2 linked regions of the Elephas maximus indicus genome follow. The protein of the gene in region 1 interacts with the protein of each later gene in a biochemical or structural test. Links are inferred from orthologs where the notes say so. Each region holds a gene or a part of one and is shown in the gene's direction. Other genes may lie near its edges.

What was found. The genes of interacting proteins can lie anywhere in the genome.
Region 2: the proteins of SMARCA5 (region 1) and POLE3 form a complex in vitro, tested with the Homo sapiens proteins (2 studies listed by BioGRID). The link is inferred for Elephas maximus indicus from reciprocal best matches to the Homo sapiens genes SMARCA5 and POLE3.

Annotation. Positions count from the first base shown.
Region 1 is NC_064831.1:41,246,766-41,254,604, reverse strand, and holds the start of SMARCA5 (SWI/SNF-related matrix-associated actin-dependent regulator of chromatin subfamily A member 5), read left to right. Parts: upstream 1-4,829; 5' UTR 4,830-5,276; coding exon 5,277-5,453; intron 5,454-7,839. UniProt on the Homo sapiens protein: ATPase that possesses intrinsic ATP-dependent nucleosome-remodeling activity.
Region 2 is NC_064827.1:62,659,301-62,666,980, reverse strand, and holds POLE3 (DNA polymerase epsilon subunit 3), read left to right. Parts: upstream 1-4,675; 5' UTR 4,676-4,806; coding exon 4,807-4,872; intron 4,873-4,971; coding exon 4,972-5,057; intron 5,058-5,427; coding exon 5,428-5,546; intron 5,547-5,832; coding exon 5,833-6,005; 3' UTR 6,006-7,377; downstream 7,378-7,680. Other genes in the region: C9H9orf43 (uncharacterized protein C9orf43 homolog), read right to left, coding at 1,662-1,805, 1,913-2,063. UniProt on the Homo sapiens protein: Accessory component of the DNA polymerase epsilon complex. Participates in DNA repair and in chromosomal DNA replication.

The DNA of each region.
Region 1 (7,839 bases):
ACGAAAGTCGACCATCTTTTGCTCCCAGCCATTGGAAGCTGCTGGCCTACAGTGGTTCTCATTCTTACAGAAAGGCCACTCCTTTTCATGAATTTAGAAATCCAGGTGAAACCTGCCTTGAAATCTGGGATTCTTTTTCATTTGCCGGAAGATTTGCTTTGATCTGAATTGTGACAGTAGAGACAGATTGATTTTGTTCCCTTTGAGAAACGATCCACTTTCAAGTTATTCTCCAACTCAGGCCATTTCGTGTTGGGACCACTATGTGCATGTTTTTGAGGATTCATTTTCTCCAGCTTCTTTCATTGATCAAAGACATTGGTGCCAGTAAGACTATGGGTAGCGGTTAAAGTGCTCAACTGCTAACCAAAAGGTTGGCAGTTTGAAACCATCAAGTGGCTCCATGGGAGAAAGGTGTGGCAGTCCGTTTCTGTAAAGATTTACAACCTTGGAAACCCTATGGGGTCACTATGAGTAGGAATTGACTTGATGGCAGTGAGTCGGTTTTTAGCGTAGCTTAACGGTTTCACTTAAGATGATCTGAGAATGTTTTGCATTCAACGGTAGAGCCAAGAGTGATCATGTATCAGTTTTGCTTTGTTTACTCCTCCAGTTAAAAGCCAGAGTCCGAAGAGGACTGTGATAATTATGTCAATGCAGATTGAATCAAGGTTACTATTGATAGCTACTCGATGCTATTTATGCCAGTGCAGGTGCAGGCTTTGTTTAACCTTCCAACTGATAAAAACATAAAACATCCAAACCCATCGCCTTCAAGTCAATTTTGAACTCATGGAGATCTTATACGACAAGGTGGAACTGTCCATAGGGTTTCCAAGGAGCAGCTGGTGGATTCAAACTGCCGACCTTCTGTTTAGCAGCCATAGCTAGTCACCACTGCACCACCAGGGCTCCTCCAATTGATTGCATGTGATTTATGGATAGGCTTCAATTCAGTAGGTTCAAGGTTCAGACTGATGACTCAAAGTGATGGGGATATAATTATCAACTTAATATAAACAAATGCAGTTTCAATTATTTATTTTCCAATTACCGAGGTACTACCAAACTTGACTGATGACTTCTTGACCACGGCTTATATTTTTATTATACAAATATGATCAAAAGTAACATTCTTGGACTACTGAATGAAGAAGAAGGTCGAAATTCACTTCTGGAAAGGCCACGAGACTTGTGTGTTAAGCCAGAACTTTTAAACATAATTTCATCATTTCTGTGTTTTATATATGTATGCATGTTGTTTACATGGATGCACTGTTTAAGAAAAAATATGGTATTCTCTAGAATTTTCTCCAACAAGATTTTTATGCAGCTTCCATATGCTCATATTAGAAACTCACAGAATAAATGCAATGTTAAAAGACAATTGCCATTTTGGGGGGCAATATTATTTATCATGCTCCCTGCTATTTGTTGCTTTCCTTAAATAGTGAGCTGACTTAAGATCCTTCTACTTATATACTTAAGAATAATTTTAGAGATTTTTTTCCTAAGACTGTAGACTGAATAACTATTCTGAATATAAAATAAATATTATTTCTACTAAATACTATTTCTACTTTAGAATGTAAATATTAAATAAGTATTTACTCAATAAATATTTATTAAATGTCTTTATATTAAGTATCACTCTAGACACTACCTCCTTACCTTTTCTCGCCATCTTTTTGGGGAGAAAGAACATTGTTTAAAAGTGAGTTTTCTCAATACAATAATGATGATGTTTATTTTTTAAAAAAACTGGAAAATACTAACGAGCATATATTCTTAGATATTTCTTTATAGACTCAGAAATGGTATTTCTGATGAGTTGGGGACATTTTTCCAGACCTCAATTAAAGTATTATCATTTCATTAGTTCAAAAGTTTGCAGGATACATGTTCAAAGGATATCCCTTCTGTTTGAAATTCAACATAATCAACCATTTGGATCAATCTTAACACTTTTTTAAATTTTATTTATTTATTTTGTTGTTGTTGAGAATACACACAGCAAAACTTACACCAATTCAACAGTTTCTATGTGTACAATTCAGTGACGTTGACTACATTCTTTGGGTTGTGCAACCATTCTTACCTCCTTTTCTGAGTTATTCCTCCCCCATTAACTTAAATGCATTGCCCTTTGATGTTCCTATAGATAGAATCCTTCGAGTTGCTATTGTCAGTTTGGTCCCATATAGATAGCTCTTAAAAGGGCATAATGGTCAATAAGAGATTTTTTTTTTTATCATTTAAGCTAAACTTTTTTTTTTTTTTTTTGGTTTTAAGAAGATTTCAGGGGATATTTTTGGTTTAAGATTTAAAGATTATCTCAAGGCAATAGTTTCAGGAATTCACCCAGCCTCCATGGCTCCAGAGTCTGGAGTCTATGAAAATTTGAAATTCTGTTCTGCATTTCCCCCCTTTTGATCAGGATTCTTCTTTTTGATCTTTGATCATAATGTTCAGTAATGGTAGCTGGGCACCATCCAGTTCTCTTGGTCTCATGGCAAAGGAGGCAGTTTTTCATGAGGCAATTAGCCACACATTCCACTTCTTCCTCCTATGCCTGACTCTCCTTTTTGCTTTGTTGCTCCAGGCAAATAGAACATAAAAACCTGAAACCAAACCCATTGCCATGGAGTGAATTCTGGCTCATAGCGACCCTACAGGACAGAGTAGAACTGCCTCATAGGATTTCCAAGCAGTGGCTAGTGGATTCGAACTGCTGACCTTTTGGTTAGCAATAGTAGCTGTTAACCACTGAGCTCAAAATTGAACACAGATGTAAATCAAAACTACAGTGAGATACCATTTCACTCCAACTAGAATGGCTAAGATAAACAAAACGCAACACAAAATAACAAATGTTGGCCAGGATGTGGGGAAATTGGAACCCTTATACATTACTGAGAGGAATTCAAAATGGAGCAGCTGTTGTGGGAAACAGTGTGGTGTTTTCTTCAAAAAACTAAAAACAGAACTACCATATGACCAGCAATTCCACTCCTAGGTATATATTCAAAAGACTTGTAAGTAGAGACTGAGACTTGTACACCAATGTTCATTGCACCACTAGTCACAATAGCCAAAAGGTGGAAACAACCTAAACGCCCATCAACAAATGAATGGATAACCAACGTGGTACATATATACAATGGAATGGCACTCAACCAGTAGAGGAAACGAAGTCTTGATACTTGCTACTATATGACTGGAGCTTGAAAACATTACACTGAGTGAAATAAGTCAATCACCAAAGAACAAATATTGTATGACCTCACTTAACATAAAAAGGCAAGAAAACGTAAATGTATAGAGATCAAAGTTTACTAGTTGTTACCAGGGACTGGAAGGAAGGAGAAAAGGGGGAGGGCAGTTTACCACGATGAAAAAATGGCGTAGATTAACAGTAGAGTTACACAACGGGTTACTGTAAGTGCTGTCAGTAAGTTGTACATGTGTAAAAAGTTGAAATGGAAAAAGTTGTGCGATAGACATATAAAAATAACACACACACACAAAGAGTACCTGTTAAGGCTGCATAGGTACAACCAAATGCCTCAAGGGTTTTGGTTTGCAAGTTTAGAGTGATGGTATCATGAACATTTCAGTTAACTAGCCTATTAGCATGTTCAGTGCTTCTGCTCTACTTCCTAGTTCTTTGGGCGGTTCCTGGGGTCTTAAAAGCTTGCGAGCAGCCATCAGCCTTAACTCTTGAATAAATGTTTACAGAATAAGGTACATGGGAATACAAAAATGAATAAAACTCTGTGTAGGGAAGATAAGAACTTACTGCAAAATGCAGACTAGTTATCAAATAGTATACAACGTGCTTCAATTCTGTAATAGATGAACGCACAGAGCTTAGGTTGTTGTAGAGAGCCTAAGGCAGTCTACAAAAAAATAAAAAGTTGATTTTTTGTTAACACACATTTTTAAGGAGAAAGCACATTCTAACTTTATGCTTGGTAGTCGAGGGAAAGATTCAACCCGTACCTCTCTTTTCCTGTCTATTGATTAATCATGTTTCACTCACACCGTAGCGTGCGCGCCAATTTGCTTTTAGCATAGAAATTAGTAATAACTCTACATTGAAGGGAAGTAAAACGTATTTTTAAATTATTGATGTACCCACCAAAACCAAAAACCAAACCCAGTGCCGTCGAATAGATTCCGACTCATAGCGACCCTATAGGACAGAGTAGAACTGCCCCATAGAGTTCTCTAGGAGCGCCTGGCGGATTTGAACTGCCGACCTTTAGGTTAGCTGCCGTACCACTTAACCACTACACCACCAGGGTTTCCACTGATGTACCCAGTAAGTGAAAATTAACTATAAAAATCACAGTAAGGGACATTTTGCTGGAGAGAACAAAATAAGGAAGACTTCACTATGGATAACGACGGCGTTACGTCAACGCTGTGGCGTCACGCCTATAGATACAGGCGGCACAAGTATTAAGACCCAGCATAGGCCGCCACGTTTCAGTTCCCCGTGCTAAATCTGAGCAAGTTTTCAGGAAATGCAGCTGACCTCTGCCAGGCCAATAAGATAAGAGAGTCAAGGCCGGGGAGCCGTTATGAACGCGCATAGGGCTGCACTCGCGTCAGGCCAAAGAGCCAAGGGAAGCCTACGTAAGTGTCAGACGTCTCCAGGCAGCGCTCGTCTCCCTCGAGGCCCCACCCACTCCTCTCTCCAGAGCCCCCCACCCACTCGCTCTCCAGAGGCCGCTGGGGGCCCGGGTGATGCGGGAGGCGAGTGAGGGGAGAAGGAAGCGCATGCGCTCTCGGGTTCCAGGCAGCCAACCCGCTATCTCGCGAGAGTTGGAAGTCGGTGGCGTAGGTAGTTGTCCGAGTTGCTGGCGACATAGATGATATCTGACGGTGGAAGAAGAGGAGGAGGCGAAGCTAGGTCCTCACCTCAGTCTCTCTTTCGCTTTCCTTTCCCTCCCCCTAACCCTCCACCCTCCTCTAAATCGGCCTGCTTCCCCTGACCTCGGTGACCCGGCTGGCCCCGCCCACTCTCGTCGACGTGATTCCCGCCGTGAGGTAAGCAGCGGGTCGAACCCGGAGCTGCGCGGAGGAGGAGACCTACGACCAGGAGGAGGAGGCTGCTGGGTCCCGCTCAGGCCGTCACGGAGCCGCGGTGCCGGGGAGAACTCAGGGAGTCCTCTCGCCGGTCCATCAGCTCCTTCCCCAGGTCTAGGCCTCTTCCTCCATCCCTGCGGGACCCAGCCCCTGGCAGCAGCGGCTGACGCAGCCGGAACATCATGTCGTCCGCAGCCGAGCCTCCGCCACCCCCGCCTCCCGAGAGCGCGCCTTCCAAACCCGCAGCCTTTGCTACCAGCGGCGGGAGTAACAGCAGCAACAAAGGCGGACCGGAGGGCGTCGTGTCCCAGGCGGCCTCCTCTGCAGCCTGCGCCGGCCCCGCCAACGCCGAGATGGAGGTGAGGGACCTGAGCGCGGCGTGTGGCGCGGGGAGAGGAGAAGCTGGTTCCCTCCCCCTGACTTGAGGGCTCAGACGCGGAGCCCTGCTTCACCCCTCAGCACCAAACTCGGGCTCGGGCTCGGGCTCGTTGGATCCAAACGATGCTCTCGTCTATGCGCCTTCGTGCTTATCCTGTCTAGACTCAAATGGATTCCGAACAGTTTGCATGTAAATTATCTGCTTCTTTAGCAAATCTTGCCAAATATTCGGTGGCTCTTACTAAACAGATGTTCTTGATTACTGTGGCCGGGTGGGAGCTCCCCGTTTCTTTTCACTGGACTCCCATAATTCCCTCTCCAATTTGTGCGAATCTCGGTTTTAGTTTTCTCTGAGCTTGGGGGAGGGGTGAGGGATGTGCCGTTTGGGAGTGAGGGACAGACTGTCGCGGAGAGGGAGGCCGCGCATCCGAGGACTCGGGCCGCCTTTTCTTCCTCCGGGTCCTTGTGGGGCGGTATCTGTTCTGGGCACAAACAATGGCGAGAGCTGGATGGCCGAATGCGCAGTGGGGATAAGCGGGCGCAGCTGCTCTGGTGAAGGGACGAGAGGCCCCTCCCAGACACTGTTCCACTGGGAGGGTAGCGGCCAAGGCCACGGCAGATGTCCCAGACCCCCATTTAATTTGGGGGGAATGGATGGATGGATGAATGAATTAGTGAATATGGGGTGGTTGGTTGGCCTTCAGTCCAGCCCAACTCGTCTTTTGTGGCCTTGGCCTTTCTTTTCTTGTAATTGATAACCGCTATCTATATTCTAATAGATACTGTCGGCTCTGGTCAGCCAGGGGGATGGCGACTGTACTGCGGGGGTGGAAAGATAAGGAGCTGCCAGGCCCGGTCTCTTGGGTATGCACCAAGGCTTCGCAATGTCTGGGAAGAAAATGATTGCTCCTTCGAATTTCAGTCTTGGTCTCCGACCTGTTTTGAGATATTTTAGTGTCGCAGTACGAGGATTTCAGGATTTTCCCCTCTTTAGATAGACGGGATGAAGGTAATACTGCTCTAGAAAGGTACCCTGATGCAGAATTAATACAATCAGGAAATAGCGCAGTTTACCAGTAAGGCATTTGCCGCAGTAGTTTTATTTGGGCATCAGAGGTCTAATTTAGGGTAAAGAAATTAACTTCATGTTATTAGTCTTTGAAAGAACTTTTAGTGGTGAGGGTAGGTTTAAGTGGAATAGGAAATCTGATATTCTGGCTTTTCCAGTGATTGAAATTTGTTTCAAGCTTAGATGTATCCAGTGTTGCGCCCTTTTTTTATTTTTTTTCCTTAAGGTTTTTTAAATGGTTCTTTTGGATTCCTGCTTAATGGCTTCAGGGGGTGTGAAAACCAGTGAAATTGAAAGCATAAGGTTGTATGTGAATGCACAATTCTGCAAAGAGATGTTTGTAGTTTTGATTAACATCTTAAAAGGGGCTGCCATTCAGCCTTTGGAATAACAACATGTAGATGTCTCCCCAGAGGTCTTATTTAAATACCAAAAAGCAGAGTAAAGCCTGAACTAAATACTTTGGTTTTCAGTTGCTATTTTTGAGTTAAATTTTAAAAATGAATGTCAACGTGATGAAGTCAGTGGTAGTTTTCATTTGCCAGATGAGGAAATCAAGTCTTTCGCTAAGTAGAACCTTTAATAGAACCCGGGTCTGGCTCCCAAACTGACCCCTTTCCCACATAGCTTGCTGTGTCATATTTTTATAAAGAAAGATATTTTGCATTTTCATTTACTGTAGATGACCTAGTGAGTTATTTTACCTTCTCAGTATTGGGATATCAGTGATTTTATCTTTTATCCATCCACCTTTTCACTGACTAGTTTTTATTTTTTTCTTCACATTACAGTGACATATTCTTTTAAAGTAAATGTACCCTTAGTCTTTTTTTTTTTTTTTAAATTTTAAATCCAAATTCAGAAGGCATGGAAGTTCACTGATAAAAACTGAGTTTGAACACACAGGTATTATATATGCGACAATCTTAACCTGTTTCACAGTTGAAAAAAGATATTTTAAAATGCGTTTTTCTTTGAATGTAGGATGTAAGGTAGATTTCTTCCAAAATCAGGACATAATGTTATACCGGTTCCTAAGGGTCTTAGCAATGGAGTTACATTTGAATTTAGGTCATTTGACCTTTTAATCTTGTACTTATAACACCTACACCAGCTTCTCCCACTCACCTTTTTTTTTTTTTTTAACATCTAGCTTCATTATAGCGTGTAGTACCAAGCACAGATTTGTACATCATTAATGAGAATTATGCTTTTACCAACTGTTCCTATGTAATTTTTTTTAATGGATGAATGGAACTTTGCAGTGTAGAAGTTGCTACTGATTTTTGTTGTTTGTG
Region 2 (7,680 bases), on another chromosome or scaffold:
ATTTGTTACAGCTGAGGGTGGGGTGCTACTGGCATCCAATGGGTAGAGCCCAGGGATGCTGCTAAACTTCCTGCAATGCACAGGACAGCACCCCCAAAAAACAAAGAAATATCTGATCCGAAATGTCAAGTGTCAGGTGAAGAAACCCTGATCTGGGGGAAAAGCATTCCACTCAGTGGAAACAGCAGGTACATAAGTCTTGGGATAGAAGTGTGGAGTATGTGAGGAACAGAAAGGGCAGTAACGGCTGGACCTTGGTGAATACGGAGGGGAGGAATGCAAGATGAGGTCCATGAGGAAGGCAGGACCTTATAGGGCCTTACAGACTATCACAGAGAGTTAGTGAAACAGAGGAGTGAAGAGAGCTTTTAAGGTGGAGGAAATTGCATGAATAAAGTGTCAGAGACAGAAAAGTACAAAAGGAAAGCCAGTTTGGCTCAGAGTTAAAGGTGGTATCAGAGCAGAGAGGAGCTGGAGAGTAAAGAGGCTACCAGCTCCACAATAGGGAAATTTGGCTGTATTATTCTATAGTACATGAAGCACTAATCATGGACTTTGAGCAAAGAGATATGAGCAATATTTTCTGGAAACTTAATCTGTTGGTAGCATATAAGATTTAGAGGGGAAGAGGCAGGGAGACCAGCTCAGAAGACCCTGCAAAAACCCACAAACGAGGTAATGAGGGGCTGGTTCAGGATAAAGAGGTAAGATCAGAAAGCAGGAGAGGCTGAAGGACAAAGGCACAGAAACCAGGAGCTAACTGGATGAGGCAGCTCCCTCATGCACACCATGGGCATGGCAGGGTTGGAACTGTGTGCCTGTGCATCTATGCGAAGCACATCACAGGTCCTGACTGGGAGGCACAGCTGTTTTCCAGGGTTTCAAGTTCTAGAGAACCTGAAAGTAGCCCTACCCTTTCCTATACTGTCTTTCAAAATCCATTGCCATCAAGTCAATTCCGACTCATGGCGACCCTATAGGACAGAGCAGAATTGCCCCAAAGAGGGCAAGGCTGTAATCTTTACAGGAGCAGACTGCCACATCTGTAACCCAAGGAACAGCTGGTGGGTTTGAATCACTGATCTTTTGGTTAGCAGCCAAGTGCTTAACCACTATGTCACCAGGGCTCTCTTATACTGTCTTTAGCCTAAAAGAAATCATCAAAGGCTGCTTAAATGAACAGGAGAAAATAAACCGCTCCAGGGCCACAACCAGTGCTTTGATTCTAGGCAACGAGGTCTTCTGATTTTGAAAGTCTAAATTTTCCACAGATTCCTATCCCTTAGCTTCAATATCAACAAGCACTAATTGGGTACCTAGACTTTACAGGAGGTTCAAAAGAAAAAGTCATTCCTTCTGCATTCAGGGGCTTACAAACAGTTTTATATATAAAGTTATAAGGTAAGACAGTATGTGTGGAAACTGTTTCCTGATGACCTACAGATACTGATGAGGTACCCCCAAATTAACCAACTCCTAGAACACAGTAAGAATGCTTTCTTTGGGTTTTCCCCTCTGTTTTTACCGCTTCTTTAACTGAATTAGCGTTTTTTTTCTTTTAACTCAGCATTCTCAAAGTCTTCTGTATGGGTAAGGAAAGTCATAACCCAGATTTTGAGATAGTAAGCTCTTAAAAGTAGATTCAATGATAATTTACCTGCCTTGAAATTTGGAGTCAAACTTTGAACCCCGAGACAACAAAGAGTGAGTCTTAGCAAAGGTAAATCCCGATAAACAACGCTGAGCACATCTCTTAGGCCGGAGGGAATCTGAGATATTTACAATAGTGAGCACTGGGAGTTTATCTGAGAAAACAGACCAGAAGAAACTATGTAACATGTCACCTGGAGAAGAAGGTCAAACAAATACTTTAAAGACTTGTGAGGAAGGAGACAGGCGCTGGCTAATATACCTTCAGTATCCAGGGGAGTTTTGCAGGGTGAACCCAGCAATCGAGGGTGGCCCCTCTCAATCCTGCGAAGAGCTGCCCAGCATTGCGGATGCGGACAAACAGCAGAGGCACAAGTGGTTTCATCCCACTGGTTCGCATCTGGCAAGTCCATAGCCAAATGGCTTAGAACAAAAGCCAACCCTGCAGCTTTCTAGCCTTCTGGAGAAACGACAACCACATAATTAAGAGTGCATTATACATTAGCATCCGCAGGCGTTCCTTGGAAACTCTATGGGGTAGTGCTACTCTGTCCTATAGGGTCGCTATGAGTCGCAATCGACTCAACAGCACTGGGATACATTAGCCATGCAGTCCAGATCTTTATTTGGACTCAAAGTATAAAACATTTCTATTGAGCCCATATAGATAAACGGTGGTCATAGGATAATTGGAGCCCTGGTGTGATGCAGTGGTTAAGAGCTCAGCCGCTAACCAAAAGGTCAGCAGATGGAATTCATGAGCCGCTCCTTGAGTTCTACTCTGTCCTGTAGGGTCACTATGAGTCGGAACCAACTCGACAGCAACGGATTTTTTTGTAGAATAATTAAGGGTTTGGTAGAAGCAAGTATGAAAACATCTCAGCGTGAGGCAGAATGTCAACAGTTTAGAAGTAGATTGACTTCAGAATGTCTCGCAATTGGCCATTTGATAGCTGAGTAAACTGGGACTTAACCTGTTTCATTTGTAAAATGAGGATAAGCCTATTTCACAGGGTTATTACAAAAATTAGTTAACAGATATTAAAAGGTCTGATATATGTTAAGTGCGTGGTGTTGATTCAGACTCACAGTGATCCCACGTGACAGAGTAAAGCTGCCCCATAGGGTTTTCTAGGCTGTAATCTTTACAGAAGCAGATCACCATGTCTGACATATAGTTCATAAGAAACATTACCATCCTTTTTCTTTTCCCCTTCATAATCATTAGAAATGCCACCATTTCCAAAAAGCCTTATCAAATTACAATTAAATTACGGAAGTGTCTTAGCTCAAAAACGCAAAGAGCAACCACTTTTTCTTTGAAAGACATGCTTCATTTTTCAGTATGTGCCAATTCCCATGCAGGCAGCTAAAATACCCACCAGGAATGAATGTGTTTGGTCAAACAGCAAACCAATAACCTTGATGTGATTACATCAGAGGCCATTAATTCTCATTTACTGGCTGAACGGTCTTGAGCAAGTGATTTCACCTTTCTGAACCTGTTTCCTCATATAAAGTAGGGAGAAATAATCCCTAAGGAGGACTGTAAAAGTATTAAATGAGATAATGTACATTTATGTGTAATACGTAATAGGAGCTCACCAAATGTTATCTTGCCTTCTCTAAAGAAGCTGCAGATAATCACTACCACCCTAATAGCTCTGTAAGGGCAGTGCCTATTTCTTCTTTCTTCTATGCAACACGTATTTACTGACTACCAGGTACCTGAGGGGAACTGTCCTGGGCACAGAGAACAGTAATGAACAAGATAAAGTCCCTGTTCTAAAGAGCTTATAATTTAGGACAGAGATACCAAACTACTGCCCTGGGATTCCATCTGGTCTGTGACTTGTTTTGTCTGGCCTGCACTTTAGACATAATATTTTAAGAATTGATGTCCAGATTTCTGCCCCATCTTAAAAAATCAAAATATCTAACAATACTGGGCCTAATTCCAACACAACAGGAAATGACTGGAGCTGATTAGCTTCTGACATCTTTAAACTAGGTCTGCTACATCCAAGTGTTCCCCACCTGACCCTATAGCCTCTAACCGAAGCAGTTTCAGTTGCCATTTATTAGCACATTTGCTCTGCTGTTTTTCTCATAATAGGGAAATATTTCTCTGTACCCACGTCTCAATTAAGGGCAGGAAAATGAAAGGCTGGCTTAAGAGGACCACGTTTCAAGAAAAAAATAAGTAGAAGTGAGGACAATTTCTACGCGTTTAATATGAAAATACAAATTAAAAAACTACTACAAAACTGAAGGACTCGGAAAGATGTAAGGAGAACCATTTTATGAATTAAAAAATACAATTTTAACACGGTTTGTTTTCAATGTGACTGAGTTTCGCTATTCTTACAACCTACTGCTCCGGGTCCTTTCGTTATATGCCCAACCAGAATTGAGCCCCGAGATCTAGCCACACCCATCTCAATCCCGCAAGCATTAGCGTTGCCTCAGCAAGGTAGCTTGCAATGAATAAACTCTAGATATGAGCTATTATTAGTATAAGCATTACAAAGTTGGCAGCAGCGAAAAAATTAAGGATGAACATCAGCTCCGCTAGAGCTGGAGAAAGAGTCCCCGCTTCGTTTCGGAAAAGAGAAGTGGGAGAAACTGGCATCCGGGAGCCACAATTCGCGGATCCAAAGGAGACTTCAAAGCAGTAAGAGTTTAAAGCCAGGCGGGAGGGCGTTGCTCCTCGCGGCGCGGCCGTCAGCAGGCCCCGCCCAGCCAGCTCTGTTCACACCTCCAGGCCCAGCCGTCGCCCAGCAGCGGCGCGAAGCACCAAGGGAAACGGACGGAAACCCCAGTGAGCCATACTTAATTTGCAGCGAACGCGACGAACGTGTTAGTAGCACGAAGAAGAGAAATGGGGCTGGGGTGGGGAGTTCCGGGCACTGTGGGGCCTGAAGGAAACCCCAGGGGGCCAAAACCCCTGATGCGTGGAAACTCTGGAAGCGCCGGCGACCGGAGGCGGGGCTGGGGTGGGGCGATAATGCTGCGCAGGGCACTGTGGGACAGTGTGGGCCGTGTGGACCGGAACGGAAGCCTCCGTGGGTCAGACCGCATCGACGCGGGAAGTCCGGACGCCGTAGTGGCTTGAAGAGGAGGCCTGAGGCGGAGGCGCTGGCCTCGGCAGCGGCAATGGCAGAAAGGCCAGAGGACCTAAATCTGCCCAACGCCGTCATCACCAGGATCATCAAGGAGGCGGTGAGCAGGCCAGGCTAGCGGGTGGGCTGGGCCGGACGAGTGGGCATGAGGGAAACAGGTCCTGGGTGGGCAACTTTGCTCACCGCCGCTCTCTCACAGCTCCCGGACGGCGTCAATATCTCCAAGGAGGCCCGGAGCGCCATCTCCCGTGCCGCAAGCGTCTTCGTGCTGTATGCCACGTCCTGGTGAGCGGGGCAGAGTTAACCAGAGCTCAGCTAGGGTTGAACCATTAGGGAGGCTCCGAGAGACCCTTAGCTGGGGAGTCTTGGCCCGGAGCCCACAAACCCGAATGATTGTGTGCTGGCTCCGTGGGGAGAGGTTCACAGCTTTCACCCAGTTGTTACAGGGTGTGAAACAACAACAACAAAGTAATTTGGCTGTAGTCCTTTTGTACAGGTAAGGGAGGGACTTAGCTGTATGACACCCACAAAAATAATGCATCTAAGTGGTAGGCTTTTCCAGTCCAACTCAGGGTGCGCTTTTCCTGCCCGCTCCAGAGGCATCAAGAGGGGGTCTGACAGCCTCTAAAGGCCCTTTCTGCTTTTCCTCTTTCAGTGCCAACAATTTCGCCATGAAAGGGAAGCGCAAGACGCTGAATGCTAGCGATGTGCTCTCAGCAATGGAAGAGATGGAGTTTCAGCGCTTCATCACTCCGCTGAAAGAGGCTCTGGAAGGTAACGACCCTTCCGTTTTCTCAGCCACATAGAAGATGGTCATCCTGTGTGACCTGCTCACCTGGCCCTGAGGCGTTTTCAGCATGGGTCCCCTAAAGTCCTGTAAGCCAGTACTGGGTGTGACTCGGCACCCATTCAGTTTGCACCACCTCAGATCTGTTTTTGATGCGGGCAGGTTATTCTTCCTTCCGTGCCTCAGCTTTTCCAGCTATGGAATGGAATTAGCTGCTGGAGTCTGGTTCACTCATCCAGCCCTGCCTCCTAACCCCCTCTTTCCTCCTTATAGCATACAGGCGGGAGCAGAAAGGCAAGAAAGAAGCTTCAGAGCAAAAGAAAAAGGACAAAGACAAAAAAACAGATTCGGAAGAACAAGACAAGAGCAGGGATGAGGACAACGATGAAGATGAGGAAAGGCTGGAAGAAGAAGACCAGAATGAGGAGGAGGAGGTGGACAACTGAATGGGATGGGAAGACTGGCACCTTGGAAGGTACCACTTTGAAATATGTGATACACGTTTATGTGAAGCTTTTACTTGCTGGGCAGAGCAGTCTTAGGTGGGAGTACCTGAGAAGATGGAAATAAAACTGGCTAGAATTATTATCAAAACTAGCACTTCCTAGACTCAGCGCATCTGGGTAGCAGAATCTTGTTTTGCTTAATTAGTCTGAAGGTTATGACTTTTTGACAAGAGGAATACTGAGCAGCTAATTCAATGAGCCAATTTGATCTCTCTTGTTTAGTTATATATATGGTTAGGCAGTTTTTGGTTCTCACTTCCTTCCTCCCTGTACCTCCCAAGAAAGTAGTAACTTTTATCCTGCCTGCTGTGTTCCCGATCACAGTCAGCCGAGACTCAGGAAAAATTTGGGCTTTGATCATGATCAGCCTATATTTGATTGTACAGTATTTGTCAGTACTAGCTTATTAAGAGTGATAAGCGCAATTTAGGTTTTAGAGACTATTAAAAAGCTGTGGGAGAAAAATGAAACCCGTTGTTCCTTCACTTGACAGTGAATCTTGACAGACTCCCTAGACTTAGAAGTCTTGTGTATTGCATATAGCTATTCAACTTCTTGGGGTGGGTGCACTCTGGGCATCCATGCTTTTAAATTAGCACCGTAGAGTGTAATTAGTCAAGCAAGGGTGCCAATGTCTTATTCTTACAAAACAGGTGGCTTAGTCTTAGATGCACCTCACTGCCTGCCACTGTACAGCTTTAGGATTTATCTTCACCCCCCTAGAAGGTGTAAAATCCCAGGCTTTCTCTCACAGTCCATCTCTCAGACTTGAGACCAGCTTTTCATTCTTCAATTCATGATGAGTTCCAAACTTTATAACCTCAATGCACAACTTTTTCCATTTGTGGTTCTCTTGTTCTGTCTACCTGCCTCTGCTCTGCTTCCCATTCCCACCCTTTCTCTTTCCTTTTTTCACTTCTGTCAGTTCAGAAACATTGATAACCTGCTTAATATATAAAAGTGAAGGTTCCTCTGATTCCTTAGTTATAATCTCATGCCTTTTAAAAATGATTCTGTAAAACTTCTCTAAACGTTAAGCAAAATCTGATGGTGCTCAGGAATATAATTCCCCCAAACCATCCATCCCCTTAACTGCTTCCAAAGTATTTCTGTTGGCCTTTCTTAGCCTTTTTCTCTTTCTCTTCAGTGCTCCAAGCACTTTTTGTCTCTAAGTTGAATGCTTAGAGTTTGACAGTGAAATGTAGTTTGATACTGTTAACTTGTCAAATGAATACAGTGAAAAGTTTGTTGACGAGTGAAGAATCTTGAGAAAACTATAATGCGTTGTATAAATAAAGAACATTGTTGTTAAAAGTGATGACTTCTGTTTCATTCTCCTTGTTCATGGTGTGCTTTTGGAGAGGATGGCCCAGTGATTATGCCTCATACGATTCATGGTGTATTACTGAGCCAGGCTTTTATAAACGTGGGGTTCTGCATCACCTTGGGTGACCAGGAGGTGCCGCTCGTTCACAGGCAAAGAAGCTGTTCTTCAGCCACGGCAGAAACCTTCACTGATGACTGACTGCTGGGATCCTATACCATACTAGATTCTCAACAATTCCCAACATTTCTGGAGCCCCTAATGTGTGCCGGCATTATTTTAAGTGCCTGC